Oreochromis niloticus: one gene and its partner. Each later gene encodes a partner of the first gene's protein in a complex. Links are inferred from orthologs where the notes say so. Each region holds a gene or a part of one and is shown on either strand. Other genes may lie near its edges.

The links.
Region 2: cdc45 (region 1) and mcm6 share a complex: the UniProt entries of both Homo sapiens proteins name them as parts of the CMG helicase complex. The link is inferred for Oreochromis niloticus from reciprocal best matches to the Homo sapiens genes CDC45 and MCM6.

The regions. Positions count from the first base shown.
Region 1 is NC_031977.2:25,784,072-25,791,843, reverse strand, and holds the start of cdc45 (cell division control protein 45 homolog), read right to left. Parts: upstream 3,030-7,772; 5' UTR 2,839-3,029; coding exon 2,788-2,838; intron 2,677-2,787; coding exon 2,617-2,676; intron 2,227-2,616; coding exon 2,134-2,226; intron 1,882-2,133; coding exon 1,744-1,881; intron 708-1,743; coding exon 561-707; intron 465-560; coding exon 406-464; intron 321-405; coding exon 272-320; intron 177-271; coding exon 115-176; intron 21-114; coding exon 1-20. UniProt on the Homo sapiens protein: Required for initiation of chromosomal DNA replication. Core component of CDC45-MCM-GINS (CMG) helicase, the molecular machine that unwinds template DNA during replication, and around which the replisome is built.
Region 2 is NC_031982.2:7,553,865-7,561,453, forward strand, and holds the start of mcm6 (DNA replication licensing factor MCM6), read left to right. Parts: upstream 1-4,525; 5' UTR 4,526-4,680; coding exon 4,681-4,778; intron 4,779-4,951; coding exon 4,952-5,098; intron 5,099-5,250; coding exon 5,251-5,361; intron 5,362-5,602; coding exon 5,603-5,690; intron 5,691-5,779; coding exon 5,780-5,941; intron 5,942-6,028; coding exon 6,029-6,194; intron 6,195-6,293; coding exon 6,294-6,442; intron 6,443-6,524; coding exon 6,525-6,675; intron 6,676-6,781; coding exon 6,782-6,923; intron 6,924-7,071; coding exon 7,072-7,213; intron 7,214-7,323; coding exon 7,324-7,431; intron 7,432-7,570; coding exon 7,571-7,589. UniProt on the Homo sapiens protein: Acts as a component of the MCM2-7 complex (MCM complex) which is the replicative helicase essential for 'once per cell cycle' DNA replication initiation and elongation in eukaryotic cells.

The DNA of each region.
Region 1 (7,772 bases):
TCAGCCCAATGATGGCCCACCTGCAAAGAAGAAGCAGTGCACATCTAACAGACCGTATAAACTGTATCTCAAGAATGTTTGCCATGAAAGATGACATCTCCTCAGAAAGCTCACCACAGCATGTCCTTGGTATCTTTAGTCAAAACCCACGCAAGCTCAAAAAACATCATCGCAGCCTGACAGGAAAACAAATGAAAATTCAGGAGTTCATTCAGAATTTCAGGTAACATTAATGTTCCTATATTACTCATGTGAGGTTGTCAAAACTCACCGAGGTGCCGTGATATTCATACTGCTCATAGTCAAACAGGATTTCCCTCCTGTGAAATTAATGAAAGGTAAGCTTGCATTCAACAGTTGTGCTGTGCAGAGAAAGAACCAAACAACTAAGTAAAAACACTTCACCTTCGAGCCTCCCACTCCCTCTTCGCTCGCTGCCTTTCAATTCTCCTTTCGACAGCCCCCTGCAAACACAGGACCACAGCCCCAGTGTAACAGCCTTAACAGTTCACTCTACCAGTTCATTCCAGCGGGCAGCACCTACTCGGTTTAATGCGTACCTCATCAAATCTCCTGCGTTTCCCAGACGGCTCTGAGCCTTCATCGCTCTCATTTCCAGAGTCTTCTCCTTCCTCATCTTCATCTCGAAAGATATCGTCATACGACGGCACGCCGAGGTCGTCATCCTGTTTGATGAGCAGCTTAATCTGTTGAGCAGAAGACAGAGAGTTAATGTAACGCTCACTTCCACAAACAAGTGGGAGTATTGTTAATCTTACATGCAATGAACTTCAGGTGCAAATGGATCATTGTTTACAGTGAAATGCATAAAGATAATGAACTATTTGAGGTTTTGTACCAGAATGCAAATACAGTACAGCACAATAACACAAGGGTGCTTCCATCTGTAGTCCTGATGGGCAAAAAGGAGACTTTATCTACATATTTAAAGGCCCCTACGCTAACTTTGCCCGCTGGACATTATCAGTCACAGAAATTAAGAAAAATCTTATACTTAACTAGCTGGGCACTTTACCGAGATGCTGGAGAGAATGTGGAGTAAAAATGGTTGATTTATGTATTTTGGACTTATTTTAACAACAACTATTTCTAAAGTTTTGGACTTTGATGCTTGTAAAGGTTTTACATTTCTTTACCTTGGCTATTCTCCTGTGGACTAAGCAATGGTCACAAACACCTTCTGAAGAGCCTGGCTCTACAGGCAAACTAGTGGTTAATATTGTTAAACACACACATACCAGTGGACAGACTATACACATCGCCAAACAGAATTGGAGGAAATGTGTGTGTTGTTATTTGGCTCCTGAGACAAACTGATGAGACTGATGAGGTGAGAAGCATGTTTTTTTGGGGGGGGTTTTAATTCACATATACAGAATTGTTTTTTCCCCCTTCTGCTTTAAAATAATACATCAACTTGGCCTTTCTTTCATCTTGCACTCCAAACGTCTCCACTACCATGCTCACTATGATGGCCATCATGGTTCGAAAACTTTTTACGTCCCCTTTAGCTGTAGGGTCGAACACTGCATCCACATCCTCATCAAACTTCTGCCACTGAGCTGAGTCCTACAGCCCTGACACCATCTGATCCTTCTCTTCTCATGCCTTGAGTGAATCCCTGTGCCACTCTGAGGCTCTGTGGGGTAGACCCTAGCCCGTGAACTTATGTGAACTTATTAGTGGGGATGTAGCCTGATTTAGCAAACCATTGCACATCACCTGGGTATCATTGTAGACATTGACCACATCTACAGGCCGGTGAGTGTCACAGATGAAGAAGATGGAGTCATCATCTGGCTGCAGCATCTCAAGGAGGTCAACATTTGCTCCGCAGTTGATGAGAACAAAGTATCGAAACTGCAGCACAAAAATCAGCCAACACAATACACAAGGTTCAGTGTTTACTGTCATATATTTATATACAGGCTCAGAGTAGTGTACTACAAAGCTTTCCTCTTCAGGTTCTCAAGCAGAAACACATAAAAAAAGCAAACGTTTCCATGGTGATCTCAAAAAGCTAAAAGAGAGACACCTTCATACTGGCTTAAAATAACGTGTTAACGTCAATCTCGCTTTGCAGCACAGCCTTCTGGTCTTATTTAAGTATACCTGCTCTTTGTGTTCAAGGAAGGCAGTGCCAAGGTCCTGCCAGCCTGTAACTGGCACAAGTGTATACTGGATCTGGTCACAGTGAAACAAGGCCTAGTGAAGACACAAGCAGTCAGTGTTTACATCAGCTTATAATTACTCTGAACACAGTAAAAGTCAAAAAAGCTCCATAAACTGCAACAGGCACTTACTGAAACCTACTGTCAGTACTTTTAAATATTCCCAGTTAACACATGAACAGATGGTAACCTCCCCATTACGACAGTACGGTTGGGTGTCCATAAGTCCATAATAACTAGAAGTATTTAATCAGCGTGCTCTCTGTTTACCCTCTACAATGACCTTAGTTTAAGAGCGCAAATATCCGTCATCATGCATAAAAGCCACTAGAACAAGAGAGGCAAAATAACAGGGAAAAACAATCAAAGACTGTGCACGCAAAGGCTACAGGAGCTGCCGCTTGCTAACATTTTATTGTCTTACCTGCAGTATTTTACAGGCGCAGAGAGCGTCAATGTCTGGTGCCACCAGGAGTACGACTCTCTGTAAGTAGCACGAGAAGGTTTATAATGTAAGCGATTTCAGTTTGCGATGTCAGATGTTAAGTTTCCTAGCTGCTAGGCAATGTTGGCTAATGTTAAGAGTTAGCCTTACCTGGTTGGCGACAACTTCATAAAAATCTTTTCTTATGTCCGCGATGAACATTTTCAGAGAAGTCAGTCGATTAAAACTATTGAAATAAGACGAGCCTAATCTAATCACCCTGAGGTGGCATAAACTGCGGGTTATTTTGGTTTGCTGTCAGGCTCGGAGCTTTGACAATACACACACAGCGATGCCGCTCTGTTCCCTGTTGGAAATGTGGCGCCAAATCTACACGTCACTCCCGACCAATCAGAAAGAAAAGAAAATCAGCAACGTCAAACGCCGGAAGTCACGCCTACCAGGTTGAGAAAACAGAGCAGTGCTGGGACTAAAAAGAGCTGAAATAAAGTTATAGCTTTATTTATATTGATTTGAAATATTTATTAATTTATTTAAAACGATGTCATAACGATGTTTTTATAATATGTGTAAACTCCTTTAGACTTTATTAAGAACACAATATTATTTTAACATTAGCGTTTACATTTATATTACCTCAAGAGTGAATTTATAATATTATAAATAATTATAGATGGTAACCTCTCTCTACTTCTATATTTTGGAGAAAGATATAGATTAAACAATTTAATAAAAAAGCAAAAACCTCACAGAGTTAACTATGATCTCTGTACCATACTGTTTTAAGTCTGTAAAAATTCTAAAACAATGACTTATGCACACACTTCACACATTCACAAAATTGTAGAGTTTCCACTGTGTGGTTACAATAACAGAAAAAAATGTGGATTTATATGAGAGGTTCACTTAACCGAGCATAAATTTATTAATGTAAATCTGGAGCTCAGTAGTGACACACACTTTACAAATATGTACTATTAAAGATGTTGTCATTGGCATAGCTATAGAAGTGGCAGTCATCACACATTTTTACACTTTAATGATAAAAGCTGTTATAGACTGAAATTTTAAGAAGTACTTCATTGATTTAGATTAAAACATATTGGAAAGGATTTTGCCCCACCTCTTTCCACTTAAATATTATATAAATGTATCTCATGAGCTTGTCTGGCAAAAAGCCTTGAAAGAAAACTTCTCCCGCAAACTCACAAAACAAGTCGAACTGAATTCTATTATATATATAAAAAAAAAGGTGTGTTCAATTGTTTTTTTGTGTGTCACTACCTGAATCTGATTTACACACCCTAACGTCTGCTAAACTATCCACCCACCAACTGTCCATTACACTGGGAAGTCATTACTTAAAATACCGTAAAATAATTTCCAAAGAGGAGACTTGTTTCTATATTTTTGGCAACCAGCAGAACTACATGCTTCAGTTTGATTTTAATAGGTGAAAAACTACAAAAAGAGAGGTGGCACGCGTGACAGCTTTGATTAGAGGTTTAAAAATCTGAATTATTACCACACACAATATGTAAATACATACAATATCCAGGACATTATCTCCCAATACATCATCTACAAATACTGGTGTGTCATAATTTGATATGCACATGCGTTTTAAACTCATTTATTAATCATCCATCATCACATACAAACTCAAAACCAGGACTGCTGACTCCAAAGAAAACACACAAAGGACAAGAGATCATTCAGTGTCATGGGGAGATTCATTAAAAGCATCACAACACAAACAGCACATAAGCATAAGCAGAATGAGCTGTACGATCATGGCATGAACAAAGCAAACAGTAAAGTCTCAGCAGAATCCCCCAACATCACTCTGAATGCCCTGAAATTACATAAATTAACAGAATGGATGGAAGCAATGACAAAAATATGTGTGAAACATGCAGGATTTTATGAAAACGCAGCAGCCTAATGAACTTTTTTTGCCTTAAAGGGACAGTTCACCCCAAAAATCTAACTTACAGATTTTTCCTTGTTTATTCATCAAGACAATTCTAGTACGAGTTGGTCAGATTGGTAGAAATCAGCTGTAGAAATCTTTTTGTCTTTATGGTGCTTGACTCTGTAGCTTAGAGATCCCCAAATTACATTTTAAAATTCAGATTTTTTTCTTTGACTATGGACATTTAGCTCCTTTTATTTAAGATTATAGACACCACTACAGGCTGGAGGAAAAATGTGTATGTCCGACTTCAGGGTGAGTCATACCTTCAAAGTTTACCCACAACTTTGCTCCCATTTTCATCCTAACCACTTCTAAAGTTACAAATATTAAAAATTCAAGTAAAATCCTGCATTCCCCCAAAAGTAAACATACTTGTACACCAACCCCAAAACATCTGTCAAAGAAATTCAGATACGATTTCTCTCCTCTTGTCTCATTTTGTAAAAATTTGACATTATCCACACACGTCTTCACTTTTGAGTCCACCAACAATTAATCCACTGAGTAAAAGGAAATGACACGTTTCTTTCTGAGGTTAAAAAAAAAAAAGCAGCATGCCATATTCACTGTGTAGTTTCTTTACAAGTGAATACACTGGAAACAAAAACAAACAAAAAAAAAGGTAGATTAAGGAAAAAAAGTTACATGACAGAGAGCATACACCATAACATGCAGCATATACTTCATTCATAAACTGAGAGGAACGTAGTAAACAAAGGCACAAAATTCATCCGCTTTCTTTATGCCAAGTTTGGTCTGTAACCACTGAGATCCAGCTGCTTTTATGCTCGGGTTAACCGTGCAAAACTTTGGCCGGTTCAACACACAAACAGAAAAAAAAAAAATACATTAAATAAATAAAAACTCAAAATACGCCCGAACCACAAATTGTAGTGTTAAATGTCTGAGATTACGATCGAGGAGTTTACATGCCGGAGAGAAAAACCTGACCAGCAGGAGCACTGGGAGGGTAGCACCATCGCCTGGAGAGGTTAAAACAGTACCTACAGTACCCCATCTACAGTAAGCCTGAGAAGACTCGTTTAACTCGCTTTACAGTTATGGTGACTTGGAATAACGTGATTGGCTGAGCTGTCCTGTTACACCAGAGATGATTTTATCATTTAAAGCAAAGCAGGCACTGGAAAAACTGTGAGAAGCGTAAAGCAGCACTGCTACATCAGGATGTTAATATTGTGGAGAACTTTTTACAGAGAAGTTATTTAAAAAAAAATCAAAAAATGGGAACATTGAACATATATTATAGGAAGACAAAGTTTTAAAGCATTCGATAAAGTAAAAATAAATAAGCGTGATCAATGTGTTTTACGTTAACTTGGCTTTAAATGCAAGAGGAGTGCTTAGTTGTTTGCACTAATGAAAGTTCATTTAACAGAATCACTTGGAGGTGTTATATACTTTTAATCACTAAACCCAATATATGTTCAAAACCAAAACAAATACTGTTTTCCTCTGTGCCACAGAGCTTCACTGCTGTCCAAAAACTACTGGAATGTTATATGTTTATTCATCCGCAGCTGAAAATAGTCCCTATTAATTGCACTTTTGTTTTAACAACAGTGCTCAGCAGTTTAAGAAGGTTTTACCTATAAAGTGGTGACTTTTTTCAAAGTTTTACATCATCAAAGCATCAAAACACCACAGAAAAGATGGGAAAGTCAAAGTAATATTTAACTTCTTGATAGCTATGATTTAATCATGGGACCAGCCAACATCAAGCCAGGCTTAGTTTAAACTGAAAGGCTGCTGCTGCCACTGCACTTTATGGCAGCATAAAGTTAATTTCACATTCTTAATTTGCAGGTATAACAAAGACAATCCTGTGTCTTTACCCAATTCCTTATCAAAAACAACAAAATTCTACCACAAAGTATCTTAGTGTTGTGATATGCTATAACAGGCATCACGACAGATGCAGTTTTACCCAGAAACCCCAAGAGAGACACGGTCTGGTGGTCACTAGCATCTAAGCTCAAAGGTTCCATTACACTGGATCATTTAATCACATCTTACTGTCTGTGTCATCTTGTCATAACATGCTTCTCTGAGGTTTTACTAGGTGTGTTTGTGCTATTTTGATCTGTGAACAGACAGGACAGTCAAGGACTTTGACCCCTAACACACTGATGTTTGCTCCCAGTGTTTGTTTAAGCCTGAGCCAGCTCCAAAACCACAAAGACCGAAACAGATGGTGAAAAATTCTCAGGCATTGAGTTTCGATTCTTCTCACAAGAGGAGGCGTCTATGCACAGAAATGAACCTCAGAGTGCAGTTAGCTTCCCTTTAAGCCTCAACCCTACTTCTTTACAAAGTTGCAAGTTTATAAAACAATCACAAAGTGATTCTCACATGAAAAACTCTTTCACAGCAGCTGAGCCAGAGACTGATGAGTGGTGGACTATTTGTACAGTGGCTGTGTAGATAACCTGCTCAGCTGTTGTGAGTAAAGTATGTGATCTATAGGCACAATACACAGAGTGTGCAGAGCTGGGCCACGTGGAGAACAGCATCATGATAATGAGATATCCCATCTGTACCCAGCAAACATTTCGACACTGAATAACTGTCACGGCAGAATTTTCAGACATCAAGTCACAGTTGGAAAAATACATGAGATTAACTGACATCATTGTTGGACTTTCTAGTAAGAGAAAGCTTGTGTTCAAGATTTTTTTCCTCACTATCTCCTTATTGATGAGAATAAAACAAAGAAGTGTCTCGAGAGGAGGAATCAGGAGAAAAAATAATCATGTCAAGTGTGACCTCTTTCTTTTCCTGAGCTTTCCTGAGTCTATGACACTGACATCGAGGACAGGGAGGGGATAATTGTAAAAGTTCAATGCATAAAGTTCACTGTGCCACAAATGAAATACAGTTTAGATGCAGAAAACTGTAAAAATATAAAGTGTTTTTGCAGTAACCCAATTTATTATTTCTCACTTTGCAAGAGGCTGTCTGACCTTGCCTCTATTCTACGCTGAAACAACACTGACATACATCTGTCTACGGTTTAGTTTTTGTGGTCGTACTGCGACCTCTTTTGACCTGGGAGATATCATCTGGGTTTTGACCATGTTTGCTGGGTAATTACGGGACTAGAAAGACAACTGCTAATGTGCTAGTGTAGCTCTCAAGG
Region 2 (7,589 bases), on another chromosome or scaffold:
AATGTTAATGCCACTGTTTTGCACATACCTACCTCTGTATATTTTATATTTTATATATCTTATTTTATTGTTTACTCTATTTCATTTGTAAAACATGTATATACACACTCACACACACACACACACACACACACACACGTAGAAAAACATATTTAGTACACACATTCAGTAATGTATATACCTTTATATATGGTACATATATTTATTACTTTTTAGATTAACCATTTTTATATTTTGCTTGTTGCACGTTATTGTATTTTGCACAACTCTGTTGCTTGTGAAGCTTGCACACAAGAATTTCACTCGCATGTACTGTACCAGTGTACCTGCACATGTGATGTGACAATAAAGGTGATTTGATTTGATTTGATTTGATTTGAAATGAAGCAATAATTTTTTTTCTTCCCACTTCCTCTATGGACCACCACTGTGCAATACCAATTCTATGTGCAATAACCCAACTGTATATACACAACACTATTTATTACATATTAGTTTTTTTTTTTAAAACTGGCTTGTATATTTGTACATTTTATATATATATATCTTTTTCCCTCTGTTAATACTGTCCATATGTATATAGCGCTGCAGAACTGTACCCCCCCCCCCCAGCATGTTTTGCACTGAGTAGATGCTCTGTATCTCATTGTACAACTGTATAGTGACAATAAAGGCATTCTATTCTATTCTATTCTATACCTAGTAGGCGCTGACACTGGCTGAGCTGACATGTAAAATAAAAATATGCAGAAACATGAGTGTTCACTGCCCCCCAGTGGTCATGTGGTACATTTATAAGTTGAATCCAATTACTTGTGTCCTTGTGCACAGTTTTGACTACTGGGGGTTCCAGAGTGTGGGGGCCCCTCCCTGGGGCCAGTAGGCACTCCCTTCCTTCCCTCCCCATCCTCAGCTGCCTCCCTCTTCCTGCTCCACCAAAGCCACCCACACACGCAGGGCTTGGGGTGCAGGTGTGTCACCAGGGTGCAGGGGAGGCACTCCCCCTCTGTCCCCTTCTGGCCGCCTGTGCCTCAATTTTATTCCGCAACCTAGACATCCACATTACTCATACTCTCATAACACATACCTATAGGGCCTTGGGGGTGGTCACGTTATACAGCGTCCAGAGGACGGTCTGTGTATTCAAACCCACCTCTGGCGCTGGTGCCCTACCCTCAATTTTAAATGCATATAGACACTGAGGGTTTTCGGGAGGAGCCGTGCTGCTCTCTGGCAGGAAGCACCTTGCCCTCCTGTGTTTTAAATGCACTTTAGAACAGCACGCAGCAACACTACATATGAGTGGGCAGAGGGAAGTTTGGGGCCTTCACTCACCCCCGTTCTGTTAACCGTCGGTGCTGGGGGGCTGGGAGGAGGTGCTGGCCGTCGGATTGGGGTCTGGGATGAGGGGCCTCCCTGCTACTGCAGATAAGGAGGCGGTCTGCTTTCCTCCACCCCAGAGAGAAGGGTTACATCTCCTGGGTCTAGGTACGGTTTGCCCCTCTGGGGGCAGGGGTACCTGGACCTGGGATATAGAGTATGTTTGGGGAGTGTGAATGTGTGTATAGTGTCTATTTGTGTCTGTTTCTACGTCGGGTGAGTGCCGAGTATTTGTTTGTGTATATGGGGGTGGGAATGCATGTTTGTGTCTCCGTCCGCCTGTTAGTCTGTGTCTATATGTCAGGTTGGGTCTTACACTCCACCTCTCTGGAAACATCTCAGGCTCTCCGAGGTATGGAGGCCTATCTCCCCTCACCACACTCTGCCGGTGGCTGATGCCCTCAGATGTTGGTGTGTTGGTGGTTCTTGGTGTCTGGGGCTGGGCACTCATGTATGTACCGACTCACTCCTGGTGGCCGATTGGTGGGGGTTGGTGCCTGTGGCCCGGCTGGGCCCCTTCCGGGGGGTGGGGTGCCCTCAGGCCTCTGGGCCTGAGGCCCGGTCCTCTCTGGCACAGCTGGCTGCCGGCAGAGCCCGCGGGCACGAGACTGCAACCCCTCTGGCCTCTGCTCCGTGGCTGCTGGGTGATCTCTCGTTTGGGGCTCTTCTCAGCTCTTCCCAGGAGGGTGGCATTAATTAATATTTAGTATCTACTGTTAGCTAGTTTATTGTGATGGTGTTGTATTTATTATGTTGCTCTTTTTTGTTTGTTTTCTCGTCTGTTTTTCTTATCTCCATACAGGTGATCCAGGTGTTTTGTTTGTTTTTCTTTTTTTTCCTTCCCCCCTTTCTCACCATCTCTTCGCCCCTCTATTTTTCTTTCTCTCCCTCTCTTTCTTTCATTCTTTCTCCCTGTCCTATCCCCCAGTCATGTCTGTCCCGTCTGTAACAACCGAAAATAAAATAAAATAAAAACATAATTATAATAAAGGTCAATCAAATGGACCAATATGGCAAGGCCATGAAGATGCACTTGGTAAAGTAAATCCGCTTGGCATCTTTCTTGGCCTTCAGACAACAATTCTGATGGCTAAAGATCCAAACGGGACAGGCAAAAAAAAAAAATAAATACATAAATAAAGCTTTGAGGCACAAACACAGAAAAACATTCGCTACTGCATCAAATAAGTTGATTCTCTGGGATTTTTTCAGTCTTTTATTCCCATCTAACAAATCCTCACTTCTAACTGGTGACCTCTGGAGCAGCCTTTTTCTTTGGATGGAAACCACTAGTGGAAGAGACAAATGACATGTAGGCTTGTATAAAGCAGTTAAAACAGCTTCACCACAGACATCTGCAGCAGTAAAATGCTTTCGGTTTTTAAATCAAAGTACATTTACTCAAACCCAAATTCCCTTTGGGGTTTAGCATCCATTGTAAAACTGCAAAATTGAAAATAAGGGAGCGGCTGAAAGTAGCTTCTACTCAAAGGAAAAGGCTTACAGTGAGTTTTACTAGGAAAGGAGGAAAAAACATGTTGGCTTGGCAGAGAGATTGAGCTGGGAAGGATTTGCAGCAGGTTACGGTGGTTAAAGATAGGATGGAAATGTATTAGCGAGTGAAGAAAATGTCTTGATAAGGTGGAAGGAGTACTTTGAGGGGCTGATGAGGAAATGAGAGGAAAGTGCAGAGGATTAGTAAGGAAGAAGTGAAAGTAGCTATGAAGAAGGGTGAGTGGACATACCTGTGGAGGTATGGGGATGACTAGGAGAGAGGACAGTGGGTGCATTAACAAGATTGTTTAACACAATCCTGGAGAGCGAGAGGATGCCTGGGGAATGGAGAAGAAGAATACTAGCACTAGTTTTCAAGAACAGTGGTGATATGCAGAGTTGTAGTAACTACAGAGGGATAAAGCTGATGAGCCATACTAAGAGGATATGGGTAAGAGTTGCTGAAGCTAGGTTAAGAAGAGAAATGTGATAGTGAGCAGGACTATGGTTTCATAGCACTACAGATGTGATGTTTTCTTGGAGAGTGTTCATGGAGAAGTACAGAGAAGGTCAAAAGGAGTTGCACTGTGACTATGTGGGTCTAGAGAAACCATATGATAGGGTGGTGAGAGAGATACCGTGGCAGAGAAATATGTGAGGGTGGAGCAAGACATCAGTGAAAAAAGAACCAACTTAATTGAATTATTTCAATTGGTAACACCTAATTTAATTAAGTTCTTTGAAATGAAGTTAATACATTAGATAAATCAGTTGTGTTACTCTATGTATTAACTTCATTTCAAAGAACTTAATTAAATTAGGTGTTACCAATTGAAATAATTCAATTAAGTTGGTTCACCTATTTTCTTTTTTCAGTGATGTATCAGGACAGCAAGACAGGGGTGAGAGTGACAGATGGGTTCAAGGTGGGGGTGAGACTACATCAGGGATTGGCTCTGATCCCCCTCTTATTTTGATGAGGTCAGGCAGGAGTTTCCATGGAATATCAAGTTTGCAGGTTACACCGTGACAGTTTGAGCTGGAGTTGGCAGTGTTTAAGAGGTTAGGATTTTCACTAGGCATGACCAGAATGGACACGATCAGGAATGAGTATATCAGAGAGGCAGGGTGGGTTGATCGGTTTGGAGACAAAGTAAGAGAGGCAAGACTGGGATATTTTACACATGTGCAGAGGAGGGAGAGCAGAAATACTGGGCAAAGGATGCTAAATATGGAGGAGGCAAGCAGGAGGAAAACAGGAAGATCACAGAGAAGATTCATAGATGGAGCTGGATGATCCAATGAGGCAACTCCTAGGAAGAAGAAGATGATGATGATAATGATGACGACATACTAATATTAAATATTATGGCCGGAAATGGCTCAAGTGCTAAGTTTACTGCGACGCTGTCACTCAGCTCATTCTTCATTTGTAGCCTGTCTGTATAACGCACGTGCTCGACAAAGACACGCGCACACTGAGATAACAGCTCGGTCTAGCCCCGTCTACAGCTGCTATTGGTTAGCACAGGAAGCGTATCGCGGGAAAAAAGGCAGCAGGACCCCGCGTCAATTTACGTTTCCGCTTCTAATTGGCTACGAGCTCAGAGACATTTCCATAACGTCGCAGATTGGTCGAAAGCGGCGCGCCAAACATCACGTGGTCTCGCTTTTCGCGCGAAACCGGGCTCGCTGTTGTCCGGAGCTGAGCGTGCTGTGTGTCAGAGAGGAGAGGAGCAGCTCGTGTCGGTTTTGCAAACTTCTTTTTGGATTCTCTTTGTTGTCGCAGTTTGACGGACTTGCAGCATGGATGTCGCCACAGCCACCGCGGAGACTGCCGGGGCGATGGTGAAGGACGAGCTGGCCGAGAAGTGCCAGAAGTTATTCCAGGCTTTCTTAGAGGAGTAAGTGAGGCAGCAGCGACCGTGTCGTATTGTTGTCGGCCGAAACGTGCTTGGCTTGACATCGCTCTTTTAATCAGCAATTATAAGGATCGAGTGCTGCTTTGATCGGCTGCTATTGGTGTCTTTTCGCTGCTTTTTCTTAACTCTCTCTCGCTTCCTGCGTCACCCTGCAGATTTCAGAGCGGGGATGGGGAGGTGAAGTATGTCCGGGAGGCCGAGGAGCTGATCAGGCCTGAGAGGAACACCCTACTGGTGAGCTTCACCGACTTGGAGGGCTTCAACCAGGAACTGGCTACCACCATCCAGGAGGAGTACTACAGGTGAGCAGGCCACATGACCACCAAGTCATGGGTGCTTCCCTCATATCTAATCCAAATACTGAGGTGGGAGAGTGCTCTGCTGCATTTCAAACCATCAGTTCAGTGCTGTGGAGATAAGCTGTGGGATAACCTGAAGGATTCTCTGTTTCCAGAGTGTATCCCTACCTATGCAGAGCAGTGCGCAACTTTGCTCGGGATCACGGGAACGTTCCTCTCAACAAAGAGTTCTACGTCGCTATCGAGGATCTGCCCACCAGACACAAGTAAGACACTGTTAACCAAAACCACCATGTACATCTCCATTTATCTGGTCTGAGCTGCCGTTTATTCAGCTAGATTGCTTTAGTGTAAAGATATTTGTAGAAATGTCTGCTTGGCTTGAATAACTTGGAACTAAATGGTGTTTAAGTTGTGGTGCATAAAGCAGAAATGCTACATCTCACACTGGTAGATGTTAATGGGAATGAAATGCCAAATCTGATCCTTTTCCTGTGTTAAATGTAGGATCCGTGAGTTGTCCTCCATGCGTATTGGCAGCCTGGTGAGAATCAGCGGTCAGGTGGTGAGAACGCACCCAGTCCATCCTGAGCTGGTGAGATGTTTATATCAGTGAAGAAGACACAAAGTTCAGTTTTTCGCTTGTCTTTTGCCATTAAACCCATTATGCGTCCTTTGGTGCAGGTGAGCGGTACCTTCCTGTGCATGGACTGCCAGGCAGTGATCAAAGATGTCTCTCAGCAGTTCAAATACTCTCCTCCGACCATCTGCAGGAACCCCGTGTGCAACAACCGCTCCCGCTTCCACCTCGACACGCACAAATCCAAGTTCATCGACTTTCAGAAGGTAACTGTGATAAAGGACGTGTGCCTGTCTGTCTGCATGGATGAATGAGTCTGATTCTGACCCTGTGTACCCTGTTTGTGTATCCAGGTGCGTATCCAGGAGACACAGGCGGAGCTGCCCCGTGGTTCGATCCCACGCTCTCTTGAGATCATCCTGAGGGCAGAGGCTGTGGAGACGGCTCAGGCTGGAGACCGCTGTGACTTCACTGGGACCCTGATTGTCGTGCCGGATGTCTCACAGCTCAGCACACCTGGTACTTTTTAAAATTTTAACCATTTATAATCAAAACTATGTCTTGTGGTGTGTTTTTGTTTTGTTTTGGTTCTCATGACTGTATGGATGTTACTTCCAGGTGTGCGAGCAGAGACCAGTACCCGTGTAGCAGGAGGTCCTCAGGGCTTTGAGTCTGAGGGTCTGAGAGGACTGAAAGCTCTGGGAGTCAGAGAGCTGTCATACAGGCTGGCCTTCCTGGCCTGCAACGTGGCGCCCACCAACCCACGGGTAAGAAGCGCTCGCCCCTGTGCCTAAAAATGCAAACGGCTACAAATCTTGCTGTGTGATTACAAATACGTCTTTATCACAGTTTGGCGGTAAAGAGCTGCGGGAGGAGGAGCAGACAGCTGAAAGCATTAAGAGCCAGATGACGGAGAAGGAGTGGGAGAAGGTTTTTGAGATGAGCCAGGACAAGAACCTGTACCACAACCTGTGCACCAGCCTCTTCCCAACCATCCACGGTCAGTGATAGAACCCCCGTCTAGCCTTTTTCTCCAATGGAGGATGCTCTCGTAGTTCTTTATCAAAGCTGTGACTTGTGAGTTAAACGTTAACGTGATGGTGCAGGTAACGATGAGGTGAAGCGCGGCATCCTGCTGATGCTTTTTGGAGGCGTTCCCAAGACGACCATGGAAGGGACCTCGCTCAGAGGAGACATCAACGTGTGCGTTGTGGGAGATCCAAGTACTGCCAAGAGCCAGTTCCTCAAGTATGTCACACAGTTTCCACCTTCACTGATTAGCTTTGCATAAAGTTTTTCTTTGTTCCATCTTCTGGCACAAATACTTTTCAGTACTCTCTTTGCTGTAGACATTTGTTGTACAGCATTGTTGATTTGAATGTGTGTGCCTGTGTAGGCACGTGGAGGAGTTCAGTCCCAGAGCGGTGTACACCAGCGGCAAGGCCAGCAGCGCCGCAGGTCTGACGGCGGCCGTGGTCCGAGACGAGGAGTCGCACGAGTTTGTCATCGAGGCTGGAGCTCTGATGCTCGCCGACAACGTGAGTGCTGCGACTTCTGAAGAACAGTGACGGATGTATTATTATGGAAAAAAAAAAAGTTTCTTTATGTAATTAGTGCAAGTAAAACTTGTTAACTGGTTTGATTTCAGGGTGTTTGCTGTATTGATGAGTTTGATAAGATGGACCTCAAAGACCAGGTGGCCATCCATGAAGCCATGGAGCAGCAGACCATCAGCATCACCAAAGCCGGAGTCAAGGTGACGCTTTCAAAGCTTTATGCTTTGAACACACTTTAAACACTTTTACGCAGCACAAGTGGAAGTTAAACTGCTATCAAATTCGATCGCTCGTCTCTGCAGTAGAATAACCAGACCGTTCCTCCGCTTCTCTCCTCAGGCTACCCTGAACGCTCGCA